Arabidopsis thaliana: one gene and its partners. The protein of the gene in region 3 interacts with the protein of the main gene of each other region in a pairwise test. Each region holds a gene or a part of one and is shown on either strand. Other genes may lie near its edges.

Region 1 (6,863 bases), on a different chromosome or scaffold from region 3:
GTGATTGTGTAATCTTGTGTGTTTATAATAGTAACATTGGAGATCCTCGAGTGTAAAATGTCTTGTACGGGGTTGTAAACTTATATAGTTATATTACAGTGAAAATAGATATTGTACAAGTTATAAAATCCTAACCACTTGGATAATCTACACATCCTTCGATTACTTTTACAATATAGCTGTATCAATTATCTTGCATTTGTGCAATTATTATATTGAATTTCAATTGAACCAATTATAAAATTTATTATGTAATTTAGTATTATATATTTTATCAATTATAAACAATTCATACTTTTTGCTATTATATATATAAAAAAATTTTAATTTTTAATTTTACTAATTGAAAAAGATTATATCTAACCACCTAACGACAACTCCTTTCTCGGATCAAGTTTTTTCTTGGTTCTTCTTTTCTCGGGGTACTTCCTCTCGGATTCTCTATGTCTCTTAACTCGGTCTAACCCGCTAAAGCTTAGCTCACATGCGGGTCATAAAATCCGATTACCTTTTGCGAAGTATGACCGAGAGTTGAAAGAAATTCGGATGTTCCTTAGAAACTCGGACCGTGAGTCCTTCTTTCTCGTTTAACTTGGAGTGTTCAATCGTCGGGTTGGAAGTGAATCGGATGATAATCACCTTCCTTCTCGTCTTTGTCCTCCGTTTTAAGTTTTTTTTCTTCCGTGAATTCTTTTTTTCTCTTCCTCTTTCGCGGGACTTAACATTTCGAGTTATCTCCGATCTAGGCTTCCCGATCTTTCACTTCAGCATACGCTATGATATCGTTTCTAAAGTCACTCATTCGTGCTCTGGACGGAGATGATGACGTCTTCGATTTTGCTTTTGTGGCCTCTTCGGTCACCGAGCTCCCTTATTTTGCTACGAGGACAAAGATTGGGAAGAAGAGAATTGAGGAAGTGATAGATTCAGATCTTCAGGGACTCGCCAAATACGAGGAGAGAGCGATTAAAGCTATCAAGCCGAGAGTGAAAGTTACCATTGAGAAAGACATCACTTTGCTACAGAGGGTAAGTGAATCTTTCTTACATCCACAAGACATGGTTCTATGTGTGTTGTTTCATCTTTCTCTAGACTTTTGTTGCTATTTCGGTTTACAAACTTTTGATTGTGGTTTGATCTTTCTCTAAACATTTTTTGCTGTATTTGGTTAAAGACTTTTGAGAATCTTCAAACAGGGCTTAGGACTTCTTAATTGTGCCTGAATTCTCAGACAAAGAATCCGTGTCTGGTTTGTACAGTTTCAGAGATTTGTTACAAAAACTGATGAATGAGTTGAAGAGGAGAAGAGTTAAGGAGTCTAGTCTAAATAAGTTTTCAAGTTTATTGTAATAGTAAAACCTCTATAAATTAATACTCGATAAATTAATAATCTATATAAGATTAATAATTTTTTCCAGTCCCGAGTTGGGACTGTAAAAAGTGACACAAATTGATAAATTAATAAAATAATAATTTTTTTGAAAATCCTATGTAAATATATGATCCCATCAATATTATAAATTAGTAATTGTATAAATATAAAATATATATATATCTAATATATTATATGTAAGAAATTTCTAATATTTTTTTGCTTAAACTCGTATTTGTTCTTATTTGAATTTAGTTATAATATTTTACTGTATCAAAACTTTTGATATTGTTTTATAGACATGATAATTATTTTTTACTTGCAATTGGTTTTAGAAAGATATTCTCTATGATGAAAAATATCTTGTAGAAACTTTTAAAAAGTTACTACATTAGAAAACTCTCTATGTAAATTAATAAATTATTTATTAATTTATTCCTTAATTTGTAGATTTCTGTTTGGAAAGAAATTGCTAAAAATTAATATAAAAGCCCAATGGGCCGTGTAATAAGTAGACCCAAAGTTATTCGGTACAGTAGTGACGACCGGTTAATCTTCGCCCGCGCTATCGTCATTGCAAAAATCTCGAACCAGATTCGGACATCTCGTCGAAAATGGCGTGCTCAATTGGTAACGCTTTCAGGTGTTCTTCTGATACGCTGCGTTTTGCTCCCCGACAACAATGCAGCAGCCGCCTAAACCCTAATCCTTCCTCTTTCCTCTCCTTTAATTCCTCCCCAATTCTCGCACAGGTATCGAGTATATATATATATTTATTCTAATGTCCAAAGCACACTTTTCCAGTAACGCCTTTTGCATATTCAAACTGAATTTTGATTTTCGAATTTCTGGATTATTTTAAAGAATTTGGGTGCTTCTTCTTCGTCACTTTCCCGACGGACTATACGAGCTAGAACAAAAATGGCTGCGTCGGAGGCTTCCATTAACGGGAGCAACAGGATGCTGGTAATAAAACTCTAGGATTTCAATTTTCAGATTTTTTTTGAGTTTGATTTGAAAGTGAAAGATGTGAATTTGATTCTGGTGTTTCAGGTCTTTGTGCCACCACATCCTTTGATCAAACACTGGATCTCTGTTCTGAGAAATGAACAAACTCCTTGTCCTGTTTTCAGTGAGTAGATAAGATTCTTATGAGTATTTCTGCGATTTAACCAGTGTTTGTTGTTAAAGAACTGAATTTTACATCCATTTTTTTTTTTTTTTTTTTTGATTCGTTGGACAATCTTTAGCTCTTAGATTGGTGTTATCTGCTACATTGCGTTTGAATATGAGTTTTTTTAGGTTTGCTACTAGTATAAGTCTGTGTTGATCTTTAAAGCTTGAGTTTTTTTAATTATCTAGGGAATGCAATAGCTGAACTAGGGAGATTACTCATGTATGAAGCATCACGAGAGTGGCTGGTGCGTAGAATTTCACATCTCTATTATTCTTGAATTCTTCCTACCCGTTTTTTGCTTATTGTTTTTTGTTTTTTGCTCTATGCGGTTAAGCCAACTGTTGTGGGTGAAATAATGTCTCCAATGGGTCCTGCTTCTGTTGAATTCATTGATCCTAGAGAGCCTATTGCGGTTTGTTTATCCCTCAAACTCTTCCTGTCTATATTTTCTTTTCGACCTTACATGTAAGCGTTTCTAATTCTTGGTTTTGTCTCTGTGTAGGTTGTTCCGATATTAAGAGCTGGTCTTGCTCTTGCGGAACACGCATCCTCAGTTTTACCTGCTAATAAAATTTATCATTTAGGTTAGTAATCTAGCTATATATCATCTCTTGCCTGAACTTCGGATGTCAAAAATGAAAACTTTTATCAAATAGCTTATTGATGTCCCCGTGCTTCTTTTCTTTTACAGGAGTAAGTAGAGATGAGAAAACACTTTTACCATCGGTGTATCTTAACAAGTAAGAACTTCTCTGCAGCATTGTGTTTGTAGTTACTGAAGTGTTTATAATAACACCTTTGATACATCTTCTTTAGGTTGCCTGATGAATTTCCCAAGAATTCAAGAGTATTTTTGGTCGACCCAGTGCTTGCCACAGGTAAGAAAGTCTTATCATTTTAGCCACCTCCATATTAGAAGTATAGTTAGGGTTTGATGTTCAAATGTACACGATAATATGTGAATGTGAACGCATGACATGGTAATACGAATGTTTCATAGCTAGAAGCGTAGGTTTAGTAACTTAGTAACTTGTATTTTAGGTGGTACCATAATGGCGGCGATGGATCTATTGAAGGAACGTGGTTTGTCTGTTCAGCAAATCAAAGTGGTAAGCATATATATAGGAAACAGCTTTTGTCAGAAATCGAAGTGTTAATTGTTTTGATTTTTCTGATTACAGATTTGTGCGATTGCTGCACCTCCTGCACTATCGAAGCTTAACGAGAAATTCCCCGGGTAATCAATAGCAAAAGATCAACTCTCACCTTGCTTACCATTTAGTTAACTCTCTTTTTACTAAACTGTTTGGCTACTATTTGAAACATTTCAGGCTTCATGTATATGCTGGAATTATTGATCCTGAAGTCAATGAAAAGGGGTAAGTCATTAGGTTCTTTGGCTTTCCATATGAAAACTGGCGATTGTATTTTAATGTCCTTATGTATTTGTCATGAACTAGGTACATAATCCCTGGGCTTGGAGACGCTGGAGACCGCAGTTTCGGGACAGAAACACATTGGGTGAAGTGATACTTGTATGAGTTGTTAAACTTTAACAGTCACAATCGTTAGATTATATATTGTGTCTCTTGTACTTTGTTTTTGATGTGTGATTTCAGGTTCTTGAGAGGGTTTCGATAAAGAGTCAAAATTTCACAAACAAGAAAAACTGAATTCCTCATTATTACAAAACAGAGAACAAACTTGTCAACCATTTTATGTGTATCATTCTCAATTGTCTACCACAAACCATTTTGGGAAAAAGTATGCAAGAAAATCTGAAAAATTCATCCATGAAGCAAACATTTGAACCAATAATAAAAGTTTGTTATCAAATTGAATGAACTTAAGTTACTACCAAACTGAACCAGTATTTATGGTTTGGTTACGTTCGATTCCGGTTACAATTAACTGTCGGTACAATTCTGGTTGAAAAAGTTTAGTATTTCGGTTTGATTTAATTTTGTATACCGCTCTAATTGGATCGGTTTTTATTGCTCTTCAATTAAAAGTTGAAGGGTATAGTAGTCATTCCTATGAAATAAGCAAACCCTAGCTCGCTACTATAAATCTAATAAACCTATGAATTAAGCAAACCCTATCTTTGTCGCCGCCAAACCTCTCTCAGATTCTTCTTCTTCCTCGCAGGTGAGAATTTCTCCGTAGTATCTTAATCTCCTTTCACTGTATTGCTAATTAACGCATCGGAATAATCTAGGTTTCGATTTCAGAATTAGTTATCTCGTTGTGTCTTTTGTTGATTATATATTATTGTTGAATGTGATCAATTATTCTTGATGAATCTCTTAATTCGAGGTTCTATTGCTCATCTGATTAGTTTTTTTGTTTGTTTACTTGCTCAGATCGATTTTTTTTTGAAGCTAAATCTCAAAAATGGAGAACGACGCAGGTCAGGTCACAGAGCTCTACATTCCAAGGAAATGGTATATATCAGCTCTCTTTGTTCTCTGTGTAACGTTTGATTAAAATCTTAAGCTAATTGTCTTAATTAAGTAGCCTAAGCTGATTCTATTGTTGTGTAATGGTAATTTGTTTAGCTCGGCAACAAACAGAATGATCACATCAAAGGATCATGCTTCAGTTCAGCTTAACATTGGTCATCTTGATGCTAATGGTCTCTACACTGGCCAATTCACCACTTTTGCTCTCTGCGGATTTGTCCGTGCTCAGGTTTGTGAATTTCCACTCTGCTAATTACTTTATAATCATCTCCACAGTTGTTATAACAAAGTTCATGATTGTATATGTATATTGACATTATGATTGCATCTGCAGGGAGACGCAGACAGTGGCGTGGACAGGCTCTGGCAGAAGAAGAAGGTCGAAGCTAAACAACAGTGAGAGACAATCTGACAATGTCATAAGCTCTTGTTTGTTTTTTGAGGTTTCGATTTATTAGCTATGTGGCTTTGTCATTGAATTGAAAATGTTAGTTTCTCTTTATGCGAATTCATGTTTTCGATTTTTCTGCTTTATTAAAGATAATTATTAGGCTTTGAGGCCAATGGAATCAGATTCTATCTACAGTCTAATACTCGTCTATATTTCTCTTTCAAATATAACTGTTAGATTATCTATCATCAACCTCTCGGATTAGTGATTTACTGTATGAACATAAGAGATTGTTAATATGTCTGCAAAATCCTACTTTTATTGAAAATTGAATCGTTTACACATTCTCGATCAAAGCTTAAAGCAGTGGAACTTTGTTCTTTTTCAACTTTAAAATTCAACAAAAGACATCTTTTGATTCAGATCTCACCATCCCAAAGCTCTTCAAGTGTTTTATAAGGACTCAACGTCTCATGAACAAACGACGTGCCTTGGACTAACCTAGCCTGCACAGAGATGATTCAAAATCCAAAATACAAGAGGTTACAGTTAAGACTACTCACAGATACGAAATTTGCAGAAATGTGGTTTATTGTTTCACTTACCTGCTCTATCTTGGAAAACTTGTCAAACATTTCTTTTGGAATAGACCATCCCAAGACATCAAAGTTCTCTCTGATTCTTCCTTCATTTGTGCTTTTGGGAAGTATACTATGACCCATTTGAAGTCCCCATCGAAGCGCGGTTTGTGCGGGAGACTTCCCGATTTCTTTAGCAATCATTTCAATAACCGGACTCTTTAAAACATCGGCCTTCACCCACGTTGTTCCAGGAGATCCCAATGGCGAATATCCCTGCCACAATCAACATTCACGAAGTGTATATAAATATGACATTCGGACTCATTAAATGATTTGGAAATGTTTAGTGTTTTAAAACTTACTGAGAGGTGGATCCCTTTGGACTTGCAAAACTCATGTAGCTTATGTTGTTGCCATGAAGGATGACATTCCACCTGGTTTACAGCGGGAGGAACACGAGCAGCCTCCACAAGATCTGAGAGTTTCTTTGTAGAGAAATTACTTACGCCAATGGCTCTTGCCTTGCCTGAATCAACCAGTGCTTCCATTGCTTTCCATGTGCTCGGAATATCGATAGGCATAATGTTCTCAGGCTTAAAGTCAACAGTACCTTTCTTCAACCGAACAGGCCAGTGCATCTTGAAAAAAATATCAAATGAAACAAATCAAAGTATAAGCAAGCATATGTATAGTTTCAAATCCAGAGATCCGGACAATTCAGGCTAGATATTGAAGAAAGGAACGGATCTTGAAAACTGTTAGAACTTATTAAAAAATCAGCATTTGTTCAAAGAAGTCGTGCTTACGAGATACAAATCAACATAATCAAGCTGCAGATCCTGAAGAGTTCTGTTCAATGCGTCCTGTACATCCGGAGGGT
Region 2 (8,817 bases), on a different chromosome or scaffold from region 3:
GATGGGAAACGAATTCGATAGAGATGTCAGGGCGATGCTGTTAAGAGCCAACCTCCTGAAACATGAGTATCATGCCAGATCGGCAAGGAAACTTTGATGACATCTGCTTTGCTAAACTGAGAGGTAATGGCCTATTCCAAGATCATAAGATATCTGTTAAAATTTAATTTGGTTTAGTTACTGGTTAGCTTTCTATCTGACCTTCTCTGTTCTCTAGTTATCGCTTTGTTTTGTCAACTTTTAGTTTAAGATTCTTTGAATTATCTATGGACTTTGAATGAAATCCCGAGTGTGAATCTATAGACGCATGAATCACACTGAAAGTGAAATGGTCAAAGAGTACAGACATAAGTACACACACTTGGTTTCATGGGCCGATATGATTTATGATCTTTGTATGCATGTGGGTGGTGGGATCAAAAATCTCATCTCCCAACTAATATCCATTTCATTTTGTCAACTAAACGTCGTATATTATATGATAGTTTGTGGCTTTGTGCACAGTTGTCACTCTATAGTTGAAGACTTTTTTTTTTCTTATCTACAAGAAATAATAATCAAAACGGTTAGGTCTTTTTTTTATAAGTAGAATCTCGAAAATTGCAAAACCAAGATTTGATGTCGGCAAACGCATCATGTAGACTAAGTGTGAACTTTTGATTTTCTTGTGTCAAAGAACTTTTGATATTAATCACTCGATAGCTACGTTTCATCATTATTAGTTTCTTCTATAGAATTTTTATCACTGAATGGGATAGTTCACATTATCTGGTACTATTATTTTTACTATTGCAAGTAGTTCTTTTCTATGCATTTCTTTGAAGTTGTTCTCTTTGTAGTTTGAGGTATCTTATATATATATATTTCTATATGTTTGTGTTTGCCAGGAATATTCAAGGGTGTTTTTTCAAGATTCGAACCAAACGAGAAATTGGGCAAGATTACTTTTTTGTAAGAACCAAGTGTTTCAATGAGTCGATGACATTTAGAGTAAGTAAAGGTTTTATTCTAAGATGGACAGTCCATTATTAATCAACTATTGAATGATATTGCCTTTTAAATGAGTCTTAGGTAGCATCGCAATAACTCCATGTTTACTCAAAACTCACAAACCATGAAGTTAAGAATCCGCCAAATTTGGAAGATGGGCCAACTCTAAATTTACTCACCCCAATACTCCATTTATTTTGGGTTGCATTGATGAAAGTAATTTGTATAATTGATAGGTTGTGTATCAAAAACCGGATCTCATTATTTGTGATCTTTGCATTAGTTATTTTTGGAGACTAATAACCATCTTTCTAAACTGTGAGTAATACAAATATAAACAACTTCTTGTTCGCTATGGAAAATAAAACATAACTCTTTAGGTACGATTCACGATGCAAAAACAATAGTCATCGTGAATAAACATGTCCGAAATACATGAATTAACAAATGAAACGCTCAACAAATGAATTGACAAATGAAACGCTCAACAAACGAAGAATCTCACATCCCATGATGAAATTGGGATTTACAAATAAAAAGTAGCACAAGAAGAAGGGGGTAGAACAGTAATTTTAAAAGAAAGACAGCGTTGATTCACCACTTGAAGTGGACTTTTATAGCAAAAAGAGTTGAGTAACGTCAAAAGAGTCAAACCCAACTTTTCAAAGGTTGTGTAAGGCTTTCCATGACTCCACATCTTCTTCTTTTCCCTTTTTATCCTTTTCTCTTCTCTCTCTTTTATTTTTTCTTTTGAAGTAAATTAATTTCACGAAACAAATCAGAGAACCTTTTATATCTTCCTTTTTCGTCGTTACTATCGTCCTTTACCTTTTTCATTTACTGTTCTCTCTCTCTCTCTATCTCTATCTCTATCTTCTATTCATGGACATGCACCGAAGCGACAAAGCTTAGGGCTTTTCTCTCATCCATGGCGGATTTCTTCTATCTTCATTAAATATTTCCCTCTTTATTAAAATCTCATGAATTTCAACGGTTTTCTCGACGACGGTGCTGGAGCCTCAAAGCTACTCTCTGATGCTCCGTACAACAACCACTTCTCTTTCTCCGCCGTAGACACCATGCTCGGAAGCGCCGCCATTGCTCCTTCTCAGTCTCTTCCTTTCTCTTCTTCAGGCCTCTCTCTCGGACTCGTAAGCTCACTATCTCCTCTTTTAATCTTCGATTTCTTCTTCTTCTACTACTTATGATAATCTCTGTAAATTTGGCAGCAAACAAATGGAGAAATGAGTAGAAACGGAGAGATTATGGAGTCAAACGTAAGTCGTAAGAGTAGTAGAGGAGAAGATGTAGAAAGCAGATCTGAAAGTGATAACGCTGAAGCTGTCTCCGGTGACGATTTAGATACCTCCGATAGACCTTTAAAGAAGAAGAAACGTTACCATCGTCACACTCCTAAACAAATTCAAGACCTCGAATCGTAAACTCACTATACACAAAATCTCCATTTACACTTCTACGAATCGTTTTGATTTTTGATTTTGATGAATCCTCCATTTTTAGGGTTTTTAAAGAGTGTGCACATCCAGACGAGAAGCAACGTCTTGATCTTAGCCGTCGACTTAACTTAGATCCTCGTCAAGTCAAGTTCTGGTTCCAGAATCGTCGTACTCAGATGAAGGTTTTTAGCTTCGAATCGCTAATCTTTGTTTTCTGGTTTCTTTGTTTTGATTTTTGATTTGTTTTTACAGACTCAAATCGAACGACATGAGAATGCTTTGTTGAGGCAAGAGAACGATAAGCTTCGAGCTGAGAATATGTCTGTACGCGAAGCTATGAGAAACCCTATGTGTGGTAATTGCGGCGGACCTGCCGTTATCGGTGAGATCTCAATGGAAGAGCAACATCTGAGAATTGAAAACTCTCGTCTCAAAGATGAGTTAGACCGAGTCTGTGCCTTAACCGGTAAGTTTCTTGGCCGGTCTAATGGTTCACATCATATACCGGACTCAGCACTTGTTCTCGGCGTTGGTGTTGGTTCTGGTGGATGTAATGTTGGTGGTGGTTTCACTCTCTCTTCTCCGCTGTTGCCTCAAGCTTCTCCTAGATTTGAGATTTCTAATGGAACCGGTTCTGGTTTGGTGGCTACGGTTAACCGTCAACAACCGGTTAGTGTTAGTGATTTTGATCAGAGATCGAGGTATTTGGATTTAGCTCTTGCGGCTATGGATGAGCTTGTGAAGATGGCTCAGACACGTGAGCCGCTCTGGGTTCGAAGCTCGGATTCTGGTTTTGAAGTGCTGAACCAGGAAGAGTACGACACAAGTTTCTCTCGGTGTGTTGGACCAAAACAAGATGGGTTTGTCTCAGAAGCTTCTAAAGAAGCTGGAACTGTTATCATCAATAGCTTAGCGCTCGTTGAAACCTTAATGGACTCGGTGAGTAGTTACTAAAACACTTAATTTTAGTAATGAGCTTAATCCAGCAAAAGTTCTAGAAAGTACTAATCTTTTGATACAATGTTTTTTATAGGAACGGTGGGCGGAAATGTTTCCTAGTATGGTCTCAAGAACTTCAACCACAGAGATTATCTCTAGTGGCATGGGAGGGCGAAATGGTGCACTTCACCTGGTATGTAATTATGCGTTTAACATTTAATTAACACATATAAAATCTTAATTCAACAAATGGGTCTTTTAATGTTTTGTTTTTGGTTAATTAGATGCACGCAGAGCTTCAACTGCTGTCTCCACTCGTGCCGGTTAGACAAGTGTCGTTCTTGCGGTTCTGTAAACAGCACGCGGAAGGTGTTTGGGCAGTCGTGGATGTCTCAATTGATTCCATTAGAGAAGGTTCTTCTTCGAGCTGTAGAAGATTACCATCCGGTTGCCTCGTACAAGACATGGCCAATGGCTACTCAAAGGTAAAATTATTCTTTCTGGGTGATGATTATTTGTAATAGTAGTATACTGTATAGTTTTAACTTTTCACCTTTAGGAGTTACCCTAGTGTTGGTTGGTTCACATTTCTCTAGGAACCACAGGCAAGCTCTTTGTTTTTGTCCGAGAAATTATGATAAAGGTTTCTTATGCATTGGGTTTATAACTTTAAATTAACTTATGCATTGGAGTAGGATTATTTTATTGATCAGAAGCATCTAAATATCTCCGAGTTCTGTGCCCTTGGATCGTGCATTAATTTTTATCATTACACGTTCATAGAAGTTTTTCTCTTTGATTATCATTAATTATGTGTTAAAGCTGACATTAGACCTAAAAAAACGATTGTGATAAACCTAACGCAAAATAGTTTAAGAAATTTGCAGGTAACATGGATCGAGCACACGGAGTATGACGAAAACCACATCCACCGTTTATACCGCCCATTACTCAGGTGCGGTCTAGCGTTTGGTGCGCATCGATGGATGGCTGCATTACAACGTCAATGCGAATGCCTCACGATTCTCATGTCCTCCACTGTTTCCACTTCCACTAATCCATCCCGTAAGCTCCCTCAAACGCTGCGTTTCTGATTTATTTTGTAGAAATATATATTTGTTTGTTGTTGTTGACGTGATTCATATCTTATCCTACCAGAATAAATAAGATTTAATAAATAGTATGAACTGTTGACTGAGTCACAAAGAAAAAGATGATAGCTGTTGATTCTGTAATTATCAAACTATATAGTTTAATTAATCTTTTTTTGGTTATATTAATGGGCACAGCTATAAACTGCAATGGGAGAAAAAGCATGCTAAAGCTAGCGAAGAGGATGACTGATAATTTCTGTGGAGGGGTTTGTGCTTCGTCGTTACAGAAATGGAGCAAACTCAACGTTGGCAACGTCGACGAAGACGTTAGGATAATGACTAGGAAGAGTGTAAACAATCCTGGCGAGCCGCCTGGGATAATTCTAAATGCGGCGACGTCAGTTTGGATGCCGGTATCTCCGAGGCGGTTGTTTGACTTCCTTGGAAACGAACGGCTTAGATCGGAATGGGATATCTTATCCAACGGTGGACCAATGAAAGAGATGGCCCATATAGCTAAAGGCCATGACCGTTCCAACTCCGTCTCCCTCCTCCGTGCCAGCGTAAGCATTCATATTTATTACACTTTCTATTTGCATGCGTAAGTAGCTAAGCTAATCTCCAAATTTTAGTTTAGGTTTTGGTGAATTTAGTATTTTATAAACATTAGATGGTTTTGGAAAACTTGAAATTTTAGTCGGTTTAGTTTTTTGTTTACGGTTTTCAACTTTTTCTGATTTTTTTGGGTTGGTTTTAGATAAATTAAAGTTAAACCGACTTGTGTGGACATTGAATATTTGATCTATAAACAGTGTATGAAAGGACTTTGTTGTGTTGTGTGACCCCAGGATGGTGTTGTCATATGAATCTTGTCGCGTGTGATTGGAAAGTGACAAATCTAGAATTTGGAAGTATTGTGTGATAAAAGTCAATAGTAATAAGACATTTTTGACCTTTTTCTTTCCTTTTTGGCTCCGACGTTTTGAAAAATCCTCTGTTTTTTTCTCTCTTTATTTCTGCATTATTGGTGTCTTTTCTCCGTTGTACCCCTTGAGCTTTTTCTGGCTTGTGACGGTGACACTGTAAAAGTCTCCTCGTTCATCATCTTTTAATTTATTGTTTCCCCTTTTGGGATTTATAATTTTCTCTTCTACCACCAAAGTTTCCATTTATTTAATTTTGTTTTGATTTTTTCATGCAGGCGATAAATGCGAATCAGAGTAGTATGCTGATATTACAAGAGACAAGCATAGACGCTGCAGGAGCGGTTGTCGTGTACGCGCCTGTTGATATCCCAGCAATGCAAGCTGTGATGAACGGTGGAGATTCTGCTTACGTGGCACTCCTTCCTTCAGGATTCGCCATTCTCCCTAACGGTCAGGCTGGTACGCAACGCTGCGCCGCAGAGGAACGTAACAGTATTGGTAACGGTGGGTGCATGGAGGAAGGAGGGTCGTTACTAACGGTGGCGTTTCAGATACTGGTGAATAGTTTGCCTACGGCTAAGCTAACGGTGGAATCTGTGGAGACGGTTAATAATTTGATATCGTGCACCGTTCAGAAGATTAAAGCTGCTCTTCATTGTGATAGCACCTGATCATCGAGATCAGACGATGGAGGAGATTGAGTCAAGAACGAACCTCATTTTGTGATGAATCCGTTTTTGTGATGGTTCGGGTATTGACTCGATGAAATTTAAAAAAAAAAAAAAAACAAAGAATGTTGTAATTTGGATCGGTTTTATTTTGGATCATGTCGATGAAATGTAATTGTTTCTTGTTTCTCTTCTTGTAATGACTCGATAATATCGGGACAGCATTATATGAAACACACAAGTTTTTTTTAGGGGAGCTCAAATAATTAGTTATAAGCAAAAACGTATTATCATTTTTTTGGTTATAAATCAAGGCAACCAGAAGCACAATCCGTGTTTACTTTTGTGGTAGTTTATAATGTGAAAGGATTGGTTTGGACCGTGTCCTTTATTTAATGTTGTTCCAAGTTTACAGTACTTTTCTCAATAAGATGGAAAAGGAACGAACGAAGAAGAGTGAAACACGTGAGTGCATGAATTTAGTTGCAATCCCTTATAGTTATTATATCCATGCAATGTAGACAACTACAACGAAAGGCTAATTGATTAGGTTGGTTTAGAGATTGTTTGATAATGCTAGCCTAGATCCAAAGGTCACATCAGAAGAGACCACAGGCTACTAATGGGCTTTTATCTAAAGCCTGTCATTAACTACTCTATTATGGCTACCAAGTAAGTCTTCTCAAAGTGTATTGGGCCAATCATTAACTAATTTATTGGGCTAGATTTTAAGTCCATTGGAGTATATACTATTATTACAAACGACAATAATATTATTATTACAAACGGGCCGAAAGAAAAGAGTCAAAAGGAAGAGTCAAACTTCCGAATAATCCGCGCGCTTAACGTTCGATCGCCACCGTTGAATGAACAAACGGTCACGATCGTATCTAATACAGATTATTTAATTCCATTTTTTTCTTGTGGGGTGATGATCTCTGAACAGAAATTAAGGGTATGAGAATGATTGATTGGTCTTGGAATTGTGTAATAGACCAATGGCGAGAAATGCCATCTGTTCTTTTTTAGTTTAAGCTATATCCGCTCCGCCGCAGAGATATATATAGATATTTCTATAAATATGTTTTTGTATATATACACAGAGAGTTTTGATTAAGGAAGAAAAATCCTTAGATCATTTTTTTTTTGTTATCTTTGTTTCGTTTTTCTGGTAGAAGAGAGAAGAAGGAGAGACGAATTGGCAGCTAAGCGATTCTCTCTCTTTCTCTCTTTCTCTTCTCGTGTAATCTTTTGGTGTTCTTGAAACCACTTTTTTTTTTGTTAATTCCTCTGTTTCCTTGGAATTGTTTTCTGCTTTTTTAAGAAGAAAAAAACGATGAATGTGGTGCGGAGATTAACGAGTATTGCCTCTGGACGTAATTTCGTTTCTTCTGATAACGTAAAGAATATTGAAACTTTTTGAGTTTTTTTTGTTTGTTTGTATTTATTTTCTTGATTTGGGGATTGTTTAAAGTTGGACTCTTTTGTTTTTGTAACTTGCGTAGGTAGGAGAAACTGAGACGCCGAGATCAAAGCCTAACCAGAATCGTGAAGAAACAGAGTCTACGGAAACTACGTCGTACGAGAAAGATTCTGTCTCTTCCTCAGAGAACTCTGATCATTTACCAAAGGAAATCCGTGAGGTGGGACTTGGAGATGACAAGGTTTCCATTTTTGAGATTTTTTTAGCCTTTTGAGTTTCTGATTTGCTTTGTTTCTCTGATCTTTGAGCTAATGGTTCAAATGGATTTGATAGGATATGGACTGTGGAATCATCAAGGGAAATGGAACAGAATCTGGACGGATTATTACCACCAAAAAGAAGGGTTTGAATGATCAAAAAGACAAGGTGACTTTTCAGTTTTGGCTTGTGTTCTTTGTAATGACACATTTCTAAAATTGTTCTCCATGAAAATCTGTTTTTTTATATATTGTTTGTTATTATGCAGACAATCTCTTACAGAGCTGAACATGTAATTGGCACTGGCTCATTCGGTGTTGTCTTTCAGGTAAATAAAATTTAGACTCGAGATATTTTATTTAGTTGTTTTAAAAATTTGATTTTGAAGTTGATTCCTGGTTTTGATGTAGGCTAAGTGCTTAGAGACGGAAGAAAAAGTAGCAATAAAGAAAGTGTTACAGGACAAGAGATACAAAAACAGAGAACTTCAGATCATGCGAATGCTTGATCATCCTAATGTCGTTGAGCTCAAGCATTCTTTCTTTTCCACGACTGAGAAAGACGAGCTTTATCTTAACCTTGTTCTTGAGTATGTACCCGAGACTATTTACCGCGCTTCCAGATCTTACACCAAGATGAATCAGCATATGCCTTTGATTTATATTCAGCTCTACACCTATCAGGTATTAAGACCGTGTACTCTTTTCTGCATTCAGCTCTATTTTTGACTTTTGGGGTTCTGAGAAACATTTGTTTGTTGAAACCAGATTTGCCGTGCTATGAATTATCTGCATCAAGTGGTTGGAGTGTGTCACCGTGACATTAAGCCGCAGAATCTGTTGGTAAGCACAGCATTTTAAGACTAGTTCTTGTAAAGCTAGTACTACTTTTCTTACTCAATTTGAGAAATGTTGATGCATTTTGCAGGTCAATAATGTTACGCATGAAGTAAAGATATGCGATTTTGGGAGCGCCAAAATGCTGGTATGTTTCATAGCTCTTAATGGGATTTTCAGGGGTTGTTTGTTATATATGAAAACAATGAGTAGTGATGTCTTGTTG
Region 3 (7,237 bases):
TGTAATCGACGAAATTACACCGGAGACCAAACTGGTTTAAAATTTCGGTTAAGGAATGAAATTGGAGCATTTTACAGGTACACTTAGAAGACTTATGAAGAAGACGGCACATTGAACTCAACAACAATGGTATCATCAACATAATCACGAATCTTATCATTCTGCAACTTCATCTGATCATCCACAGCCTCAATTTCACCCAAATCCCTAAAATACGAAATCGATCCAATAGAGAAATCTTTAGATCTCCCCGGAGAAAAGTTTTCTCCAACAGTAATCTGATCAATTCCTTCAAATTTCTCCTTCATCACTTCCATAATCTCCAATTTCGCTTCTTCCATGACATTCTCTTTCAATTTAAGAAGCGTGATTTTACCAATTGAACCAAGAGGCGGTGCTAGGGCTTCCGGAGCTTGTTCGGCGATCCAATCAACGGCCATGATATCTTCGCGAATCGATTCTGATTCCTTGACAACACGAACGTGATCGGGATGTATAGCGTAAGCGTTGAGATCTTCTTTGGATCTGTAACGGCTATGAAGGACGTGAGTGAAGTCGGAGGCGGTGGTCGTGATAAGGCGGTGGATTGAACCGCAGTAGAGGTGAAGCACTTGGTCGAGATTGACTAGTTCGTTGATTCCGTTGACCATGGAGTTGATCTTGCCGGAGTCAACGTCGTCGTCGTTGAGCTTGAATAGAACGACGTGCTCGACGATTGAAGACATGGTTACGACGACGGAGAAGAGATTGGATTGGTTTCGTAACTTTGGCCACTTATTTTTAAATTTGAAACAATTTGAGAGAAATTGATATTTATTGTAATTGGGCCTTAATGGGTAACTTACGGATTGTTACAAGCCCATTATATTTATACACTTCACATGTAGTGTTTGTTTGTAGGGGAGAATGGAACCTAGGATTCTTGTAAAGTTTGATTAGCTTTGACATAAACGTACGATTAGCTTTATTTATTTGGTTACTTGATTATCTTAGCAATGTAGTTAATAATATTTTACTTTATTTCATAGTTTAATGATTTTTTGGTGTTTATTTTGGGACGACGTATAATTTAATAATAATACAAAGACAAAAAGAGAAACCAAAAAGAAATTGATACGGACTCGAATCAAATCCTCATTCCAAGGTGATTTGTAGCTTTTAGGTACCTAATTGGATTTTTGTTTGTACGTGTGTGATAATATGCACCCGTGCGAGATCTTCCTTGCACACAAATATGTATACGAATACTTTTCTTATACTAGCTAGTAACTAGTACTCCCACCACCTATACGTAGGTTTTTTTTAACCTTAAAACTACTTTATGATGAGAACTAGTATAATATTGTACGTAACCTATGGAAGAACTTCGTTGAGTGTGATTTGAAATTAGGCCACCTTAGCCATATGAGCCTACATACTTGGGACTTGGCCACTTATTAGGAGTAACCTCAGTTCCAAATACGCCGTTAAAAATTGTTTAAAATTTTTACTTTTTATTTTGTGAAAGTACTTTGGATAAAAGGTTAATTGATTGACATTTAACACGGTTTCATGTACGGAAGAAATGTTATTAATTGATAAACACAAGAGTAAAATATTATGAAATAAAAATCAACAGAAATACAATAGTTAGAGTTTAACAGAACTTAATTATGCAGAAAATTCTTAAGGTAATCAAAATTCCATCTGTTTAAATGAATATATTTAACACATGTAACAAAGCTACTCGTTGGAAAAAAACGAAAAAAAAATAATAATAAATATTGCAAGTGTAATATCTTCTAAAATATATTAGCAAAACATTATGATTTTTCTGTACTGCAGATTCTCCCATCTATGTTGTACAGTCTCAAGTAACCTATTAATTGACGTCGAAACGAATAAATTATGCACGTAGAGGTGTAAGTTTCTAATTCTCAATCATGAGATTCGTACGTCATATGTTATCATTTATCCACATTATTGAAGTCTGAAGATTTTGTGTAGCAATAATTCGAAAAGATTAAAATGATGGGAAAGACGAATTAATAATTCACGTAGATATTATCAACGTAGCTATTGTGTCGTCTTCTTCTTACCTACTCTATATATAGAGATATAGTTTTATACATTCGTTATAACTTGTAATTATTAACTTTGCTCTTAAAAGGAATTGTGTGGAGAAAGAAAAGAAAAGAAAAGAGAAAAAATGATGAAAAAAGCCGCACGAGTCCTTTCATTGGATTCCCTTCGGAGATGTTATCGTCAGCTCCGACCACTTTGGCCATCCCTTGGTTAAACTGACATATCCTTCGTCTCTTGTTTTTTTCTTGTTTTGTTTTAACACTTTTACTTATTAACTAAATTCAGTTTATATAATTACAGTACTTATTATAAGGTAATTTCTTTAATTTCCAAACAAATTTGAGATGTAATTTTTTCAATCTTTATGAACTTTATATCCAATAAGAAACAGTTGAATCTTTTTATAACTTTGGATTATATCCAAAACTTTTGTGTACATATTATTCTGCATCCACTATTTTTTTGGCTTTATAGACCTTTTTTCTTCTTAGGAAACTTGACATATTTTGAACTCGGATCAAAAGTTTTGAATTTGAGCTCTTCACTCTGATAAAATTGGTGTTCTTTCATGAATTTCTGATGTACCCAATAAAAAGGAAATGGATTCAGAAGTACTTTGTATGGAAATTGTTTTTGATGAGATTACGTATAAAGTATTGAGGTAAAATGCAAGAAGAACAATCCAACTCCTAATTAACTCAAGCCAAAATACAAACCCAAAATAGAAACTGCAAAGCTAACAAGCCTGAAATGTTAGGAAGCACCATTCACTTACATACTTAACTAAAAAAGAGATAGGGTATTTGATTAATCATACCCTACCAGAAATTCAAACCCACCTAATTCAAAATTATCGAAAAAATTAAAAAAGAGCCAAGGAGGGAGAAAAGCAAAATAAGAAGAAGAAGAAGAAGAAGAAAAGAAGCAAAACCTCACACTACACTCTCTATAATATACTTTAAATATTATTGTATTTGAATCAAACTAGAAACTAGATATTGATACCATGATAATAATCACAAAACCCTAATTATAAACTTAACTTATTTATTATTTTGTTGACCAAGTGCGAAAACGAAGAAGAGCTCTACATCCGGAGGAGCAAAGAAAGCGATTTGTCTCCTCCTTAAAGCGCAGTTTTGCGCCACCTTTTGCTTCTTCGGTGCCGGTGGACACGTCAGCATCTCCGGTATTCGTGACTTCTCCGGAGTACAACATCCACTCTCTGCTGAAACCGGAGATGGCGTGGCCGTTGATGTGGGTGAAGTAGATGTTGATGACGTTGAAGTGACGTCACTATTGATACTACATGGAGGAGATGGGTTCTTGAAGTGGCTTCTTTTTCTTCTTCTTGTAGTTGTTCTTCTTAGTGGTTTCTTTCCTTTTGATGCCATTTTTGAGACCAGAATAAGAGAGAAGAGAAGGGAGAGAGAGAGCAAAAAAGAAGAGAAATGGGTGAATGTGAATCTATATATGAAGAGTGTGTATAAACCTTAGTGGGAGTTTTACTTTAAAGTTATTAAATTTGACTGGAAAAAGTTTCTATCAGAGGAGAAGAAAAAGCCAAGAAAGAAAAAGGTAAATAAAAAGAAGAAGAAGAGATTGCTTGGTATTTGGAAACTAAAGAGAAAGGGTTTCTTTTTGATGGACGATCAATGCATGAAATGTGAAATGGGTACGCTTTATTTTCTTCTTTTTATTTAAATATTCATAGAAGAAGAAATACATATGATAAAATAATATTGTCTTAGAAATTTAGAATTGTCAATTATCTCGTCATTAGTCGTTTTTCTAACTTTCCATCCTTTTTTTTTTTTTTTTTGTCAAAATGCTATTTATACGATTAACGCAATATGATTTTCCTTAATAATAAAACTATTTATCAAGATTTTTTTTCCTAATGATAGTATGTTTTTAAATGATATTTGAAAACGGTATTATTTAATTGGTTGTCCCCTAATAAGCTAAAAGAATCTAGATGAATATATCAAAAAAAGAAGATAAAGAAAAATAAACCAGCATGTAGATCTCCTTTTAACATGTACCAATACAATCTTTTCAACAATATTAAATTAAGAAGAAAACCCTTTAATTTTCTCAAAAAAAGATGGAATCAAATTACGGAAGAAATTATTTGTTGTGTTGTTGTTTCAAATGCATTTTAAGTTTGCGGTAAAAGACAAACACTATATATCTCTGATATTAAACATTATGTGTAAGTTATATATATTCAAATGCATGTGAACACCGTTAGTTAAAAGTAAACTATATAACAAAAAATTAGTTTATACTGCGTATAATATTACTCATATATATGTAGGCATGCTGTCACATACATATACTATTTTAAATAATAAAATTCAATTACATCCACAGCTTAGAACATTTAAACCTCTATGTATTAGTTAACAAAAAACAAGACAATTACAGTCTCCCATTAACTAAAAATGAGAAAGAAAAATACTTAAAAGAAGAGAGAGTTCCCGAGAGAAGAGTCTCACATTTGATGATTACGATATGTTTGTCTTCAAAAACACTACCTATTGGAGGTATTAGGTGGTAACTATAATTGCTACATATTGTTTCTGTTTAGCCTTAAGATATTTTTTCTTAATAAAAAGATAAAAAAACTGCATAATACAGGCGGAATAAAATATCATTTAACAAAATACTTTGATGCAATAATATAAATTCACGTGGGGTGGAATGGGATTTAAATTTAATGCATAAATGCATGGGGTTCTTTACACTCCAACTAACCCTATTATTTTAACCAAAACCAACTAACCTTTTTTGGGTTTAGTTGAGATTCTTGTCTCTGCAAATTTTAAAATGTGTATATACAAGTATGAATTTCTACAATTGTGGTAACTGTTCGTAACCATTTTTTTTGTTTATACGAGAGAAATATTTATATCTTGCAAAAAAAAAAGCTTATATCCCTAAAGAAAGTACACAGTGGTCGAGGCTGGATCTCATCATGGGATCCAAAACATAGGATTCACTGTGCACATACGGCGACTCGGCGAGTTAGATTCTCAAAGGCCATTTTACATAAAGACAAACATATTAGTATATTACAGAGCTAGTCTTTTTCTTCAAAACCAAGTTCAAGTTTTAGTAGTTATATAGACGTCTCTATACCATTTGTCTGGTTTATGACAAAAAGTTTTAGACGGTGCAGTAAAAAAAATTAGCGGTGCACTGATACAATAGCTCTCAAATTAAATGACTACAAGACAGAACATCGACAACAAATATACTCAATGTAGTTGTTGTTTTCTACTGCTTATGCTGCCAAATTCTAACCATTTCGGTGGTTAAAAATACATTGAATAAAGGGTGTGTATAACACCTTTATATGTAATCGCAGTATTATTTATATTTCAATTATTTGTAGTAAGCCATTTTAATTTTATGTTTTGCCACGAAAGTTAATAATAGGTCATGCGTGATTTGAACGCCAAAATGCCAAAATAAAAGATTAATTTGGGACATTGGTATCGACGAGGCAAAGAATTATTACTGATACAAAAAACACAGATGTTTTTTTCTATAAACTGAGAGATTTCAAACAATGAAACAAGTGAAGTTTTCTCAAGGCAAAAAATTAAAAGAAAAACAAAAATGTGGTGGATCTAATCTAAAAGTGGCACAAGTAAAGTAATAGTACAACTCCTTCTCACTGCTTTCACCTGCACACATAATACAAAAACTGTTTTGTTAAAAAGAAAAGAACATTTTCAGAATTTGAAATACATAAAATCTCATTTAACCAATTTTGATCGAGAAAAAAAGATGGTATAGCAAATGAATAAATCCTAGCATTCTGCTTTCAAAATGCTCTGATCAATTGTTTGGTGTATGCGGTTCCAGTTACGGTTGGTTCCAGTTACGGTTATGGCTATTTTGGGTAACCAGAAATGAACAGAACAAGCCTGAGAAAGCAAGTACCTGTTGAATCATAGGTGTGTCTCTGGAGCAGGAGAGATAATAGACGAATCATGATCATAAACTCTAGGCTCTGTCTCTCTTTTGCTATATGCTGAAAATTGAATCAAACCTAAATCACTACTGATATGTTCAGTGTTGTATGGTCTGTGTGTTTGGGAAAAGCAATATCGCTGTGTTTAGTAATTATCGCCAAAAGACATGGACTGGCCTAATACAGTCCTGATGCGAATCTGCAAAGCCAAAGAGATTGAAATAACATAGCTGAGTCAATGATAAGAGGTAGAGTATACAAGGTAACTAAAAGGGTAATAAATTTGTACCTTAACATCGAGGCAAGCGTCATTGACCATGTTTTTTAACTGGGGAATGATACCCGCATTCCGTAATTTCACATGCCGATCAAATGCACCGGGGCTTGAAGGACTAATGAGGTTTATGATTGTCCAGACTGCTGCTGACCGTAACTGGCTCTCGTCGCTCTGCAAAAACTTAAGCATGAAATTCTCTGATCCAGCTTTAGCTTGAGGAAACAGTTGCTCCATAACCGCTTCTTTATGTAACTCAGTCCCACTCGCTACATTCGTGAGCACATACATTCCCTGGGGAAAGAAAAACATTTTATATCAGAGATTTTGTTAATCTATTGATAAGGTATACTTTTTTCAATTTTGTCACCTGTATTGCCATTTGTGCCTGTGGAGCTTTCCTCAATTGCCTCCCAACAGTATCTAAGATAAGACCATCTTCATCAAATACAAACTCGATAGAGCTGATACATCCATCAACAAGATTACGGAGGAGGGCCAAAGCTTGCTCTTGCACTGGGGGCTCAGGATCTGAGTGCAATGAGTTTGTTTGTTAGTTAACAAAAAAAATCATACAGATGTATCATATGATTTTGGTTTGAAGACTCGTAGAATGATTTACCACTAATGAGACAAGCAAGTCCTTGAGCCTTAACGTCTGAATAAAAGAGTTCTTTACGTTTAATGTCGGCAAGGAACATGAGGTTCCTTAAAGCCCGCAAAGCGCTACACCGAGTATTTGGATCCATTGATTTTGACAACTCAGTAAGCTGTTTTATCCCTCCATACTCGATAAATGATGACTTCGGTGATGAAAAATCCATTACTATATTGTTCAGAGCACCAAGAACTGCAACCTGGTCCACAATATATAGGTACATATACATTCAAATCGACTGTGCCATTTGCTTCTA

What was found. Proteins that work in one complex are often made in the same cells at the same time.
Region 1: the proteins of AT1G51355 (region 3) and UPP interact in a two-hybrid assay, tested with the Arabidopsis thaliana proteins (one large-scale study listed by BioGRID).
Region 2: the proteins of AT1G51355 (region 3) and HDG1 interact in a two-hybrid assay, tested with the Arabidopsis thaliana proteins (one large-scale study listed by BioGRID).

What each region holds. Positions count from the first base shown.
Region 1 is NC_003074.8:19,954,130-19,960,992, reverse strand, and holds UPP (uracil phosphoribosyltransferase), read left to right. Parts: upstream 1-1,917; 5' UTR 1,918-1,986; coding exon 1,987-2,124; intron 2,125-2,143; exon of another isoform or gene 2,144-2,236; coding exon 2,237-2,338; intron 2,339-2,425; coding exon 2,426-2,504; intron 2,505-2,734; coding exon 2,735-2,793; intron 2,794-2,883; coding exon 2,884-2,961; intron 2,962-3,051; coding exon 3,052-3,133; intron 3,134-3,240; coding exon 3,241-3,289; intron 3,290-3,365; coding exon 3,366-3,427; intron 3,428-3,590; coding exon 3,591-3,658; intron 3,659-3,730; coding exon 3,731-3,786; intron 3,787-3,880; coding exon 3,881-3,928; intron 3,929-4,009; coding exon 4,010-4,079; 3' UTR 4,080-4,403; downstream 4,404-6,863. Other genes in the region: AT3G53910 (malate dehydrogenase-like protein), read left to right, coding at 547-568, 769-1,028, 1,093-1,137; AT3G53890 (Ribosomal protein S21e), read left to right, coding at 4,944-4,993, 5,108-5,240, 5,346-5,411; AKR4C11 (NAD(P)-linked oxidoreductase superfamily protein), read right to left, coding at 5,822-5,908, 6,008-6,256, 6,346-6,621, 6,790-6,863. UniProt on the Arabidopsis thaliana protein: Uracil phosphoribosyltransferase (UPRT) that catalyzes the conversion of uracil and 5-phospho-alpha-D-ribose 1-diphosphate (PRPP) to UMP and diphosphate.
Region 2 is NC_003074.8:22,628,799-22,637,615, forward strand, and holds HDG1 (homeodomain GLABROUS 1), read left to right. Parts: upstream 1-1,532; 5' UTR 1,533-1,970; coding exon 1,971-2,141; intron 2,142-2,219; coding exon 2,220-2,428; intron 2,429-2,511; coding exon 2,512-2,629; intron 2,630-2,699; coding exon 2,700-3,386; intron 3,387-3,480; coding exon 3,481-3,579; intron 3,580-3,670; coding exon 3,671-3,871; intron 3,872-4,273; coding exon 4,274-4,451; intron 4,452-4,675; coding exon 4,676-5,043; intron 5,044-5,681; coding exon 5,682-6,077; 3' UTR 6,078-6,357; downstream 6,358-8,817. Other genes in the region: FUS6 (COP9 signalosome complex subunit 1), read left to right, coding at 1-97; AT3G61160 (Protein kinase superfamily protein), read left to right, coding at 7,411-7,473, 7,580-7,738, 7,831-7,923, 8,024-8,083, 8,166-8,438, 8,523-8,597, 8,683-8,739. UniProt on the Arabidopsis thaliana protein: Probable transcription factor. Promotes cuticle development probably by modulating the expression of the downstream genes BDG and FDH, possibly repressed in a CFL1-dependent manner.
Region 3 is NC_003070.9:19,037,696-19,044,932, reverse strand, and holds AT1G51355 (cyclin-dependent kinase inhibitor SMR3-like protein), read right to left. Parts: upstream 3,537-7,237; 5' UTR 3,459-3,536; coding exon 3,108-3,458; 3' UTR 2,519-3,107; downstream 1-2,518. Other genes in the region: DABB1 (dimeric A/B barrel domainS-protein 1), read right to left, coding at 93-725; AT1G51350 (ARM repeat superfamily protein), read right to left, coding at 6,195-6,248, 6,339-6,617, 6,694-6,854, 6,946-7,180. UniProt on the Arabidopsis thaliana protein: Probable cyclin-dependent protein kinase (CDK) inhibitor that functions as a repressor of mitosis in the endoreduplication cell cycle.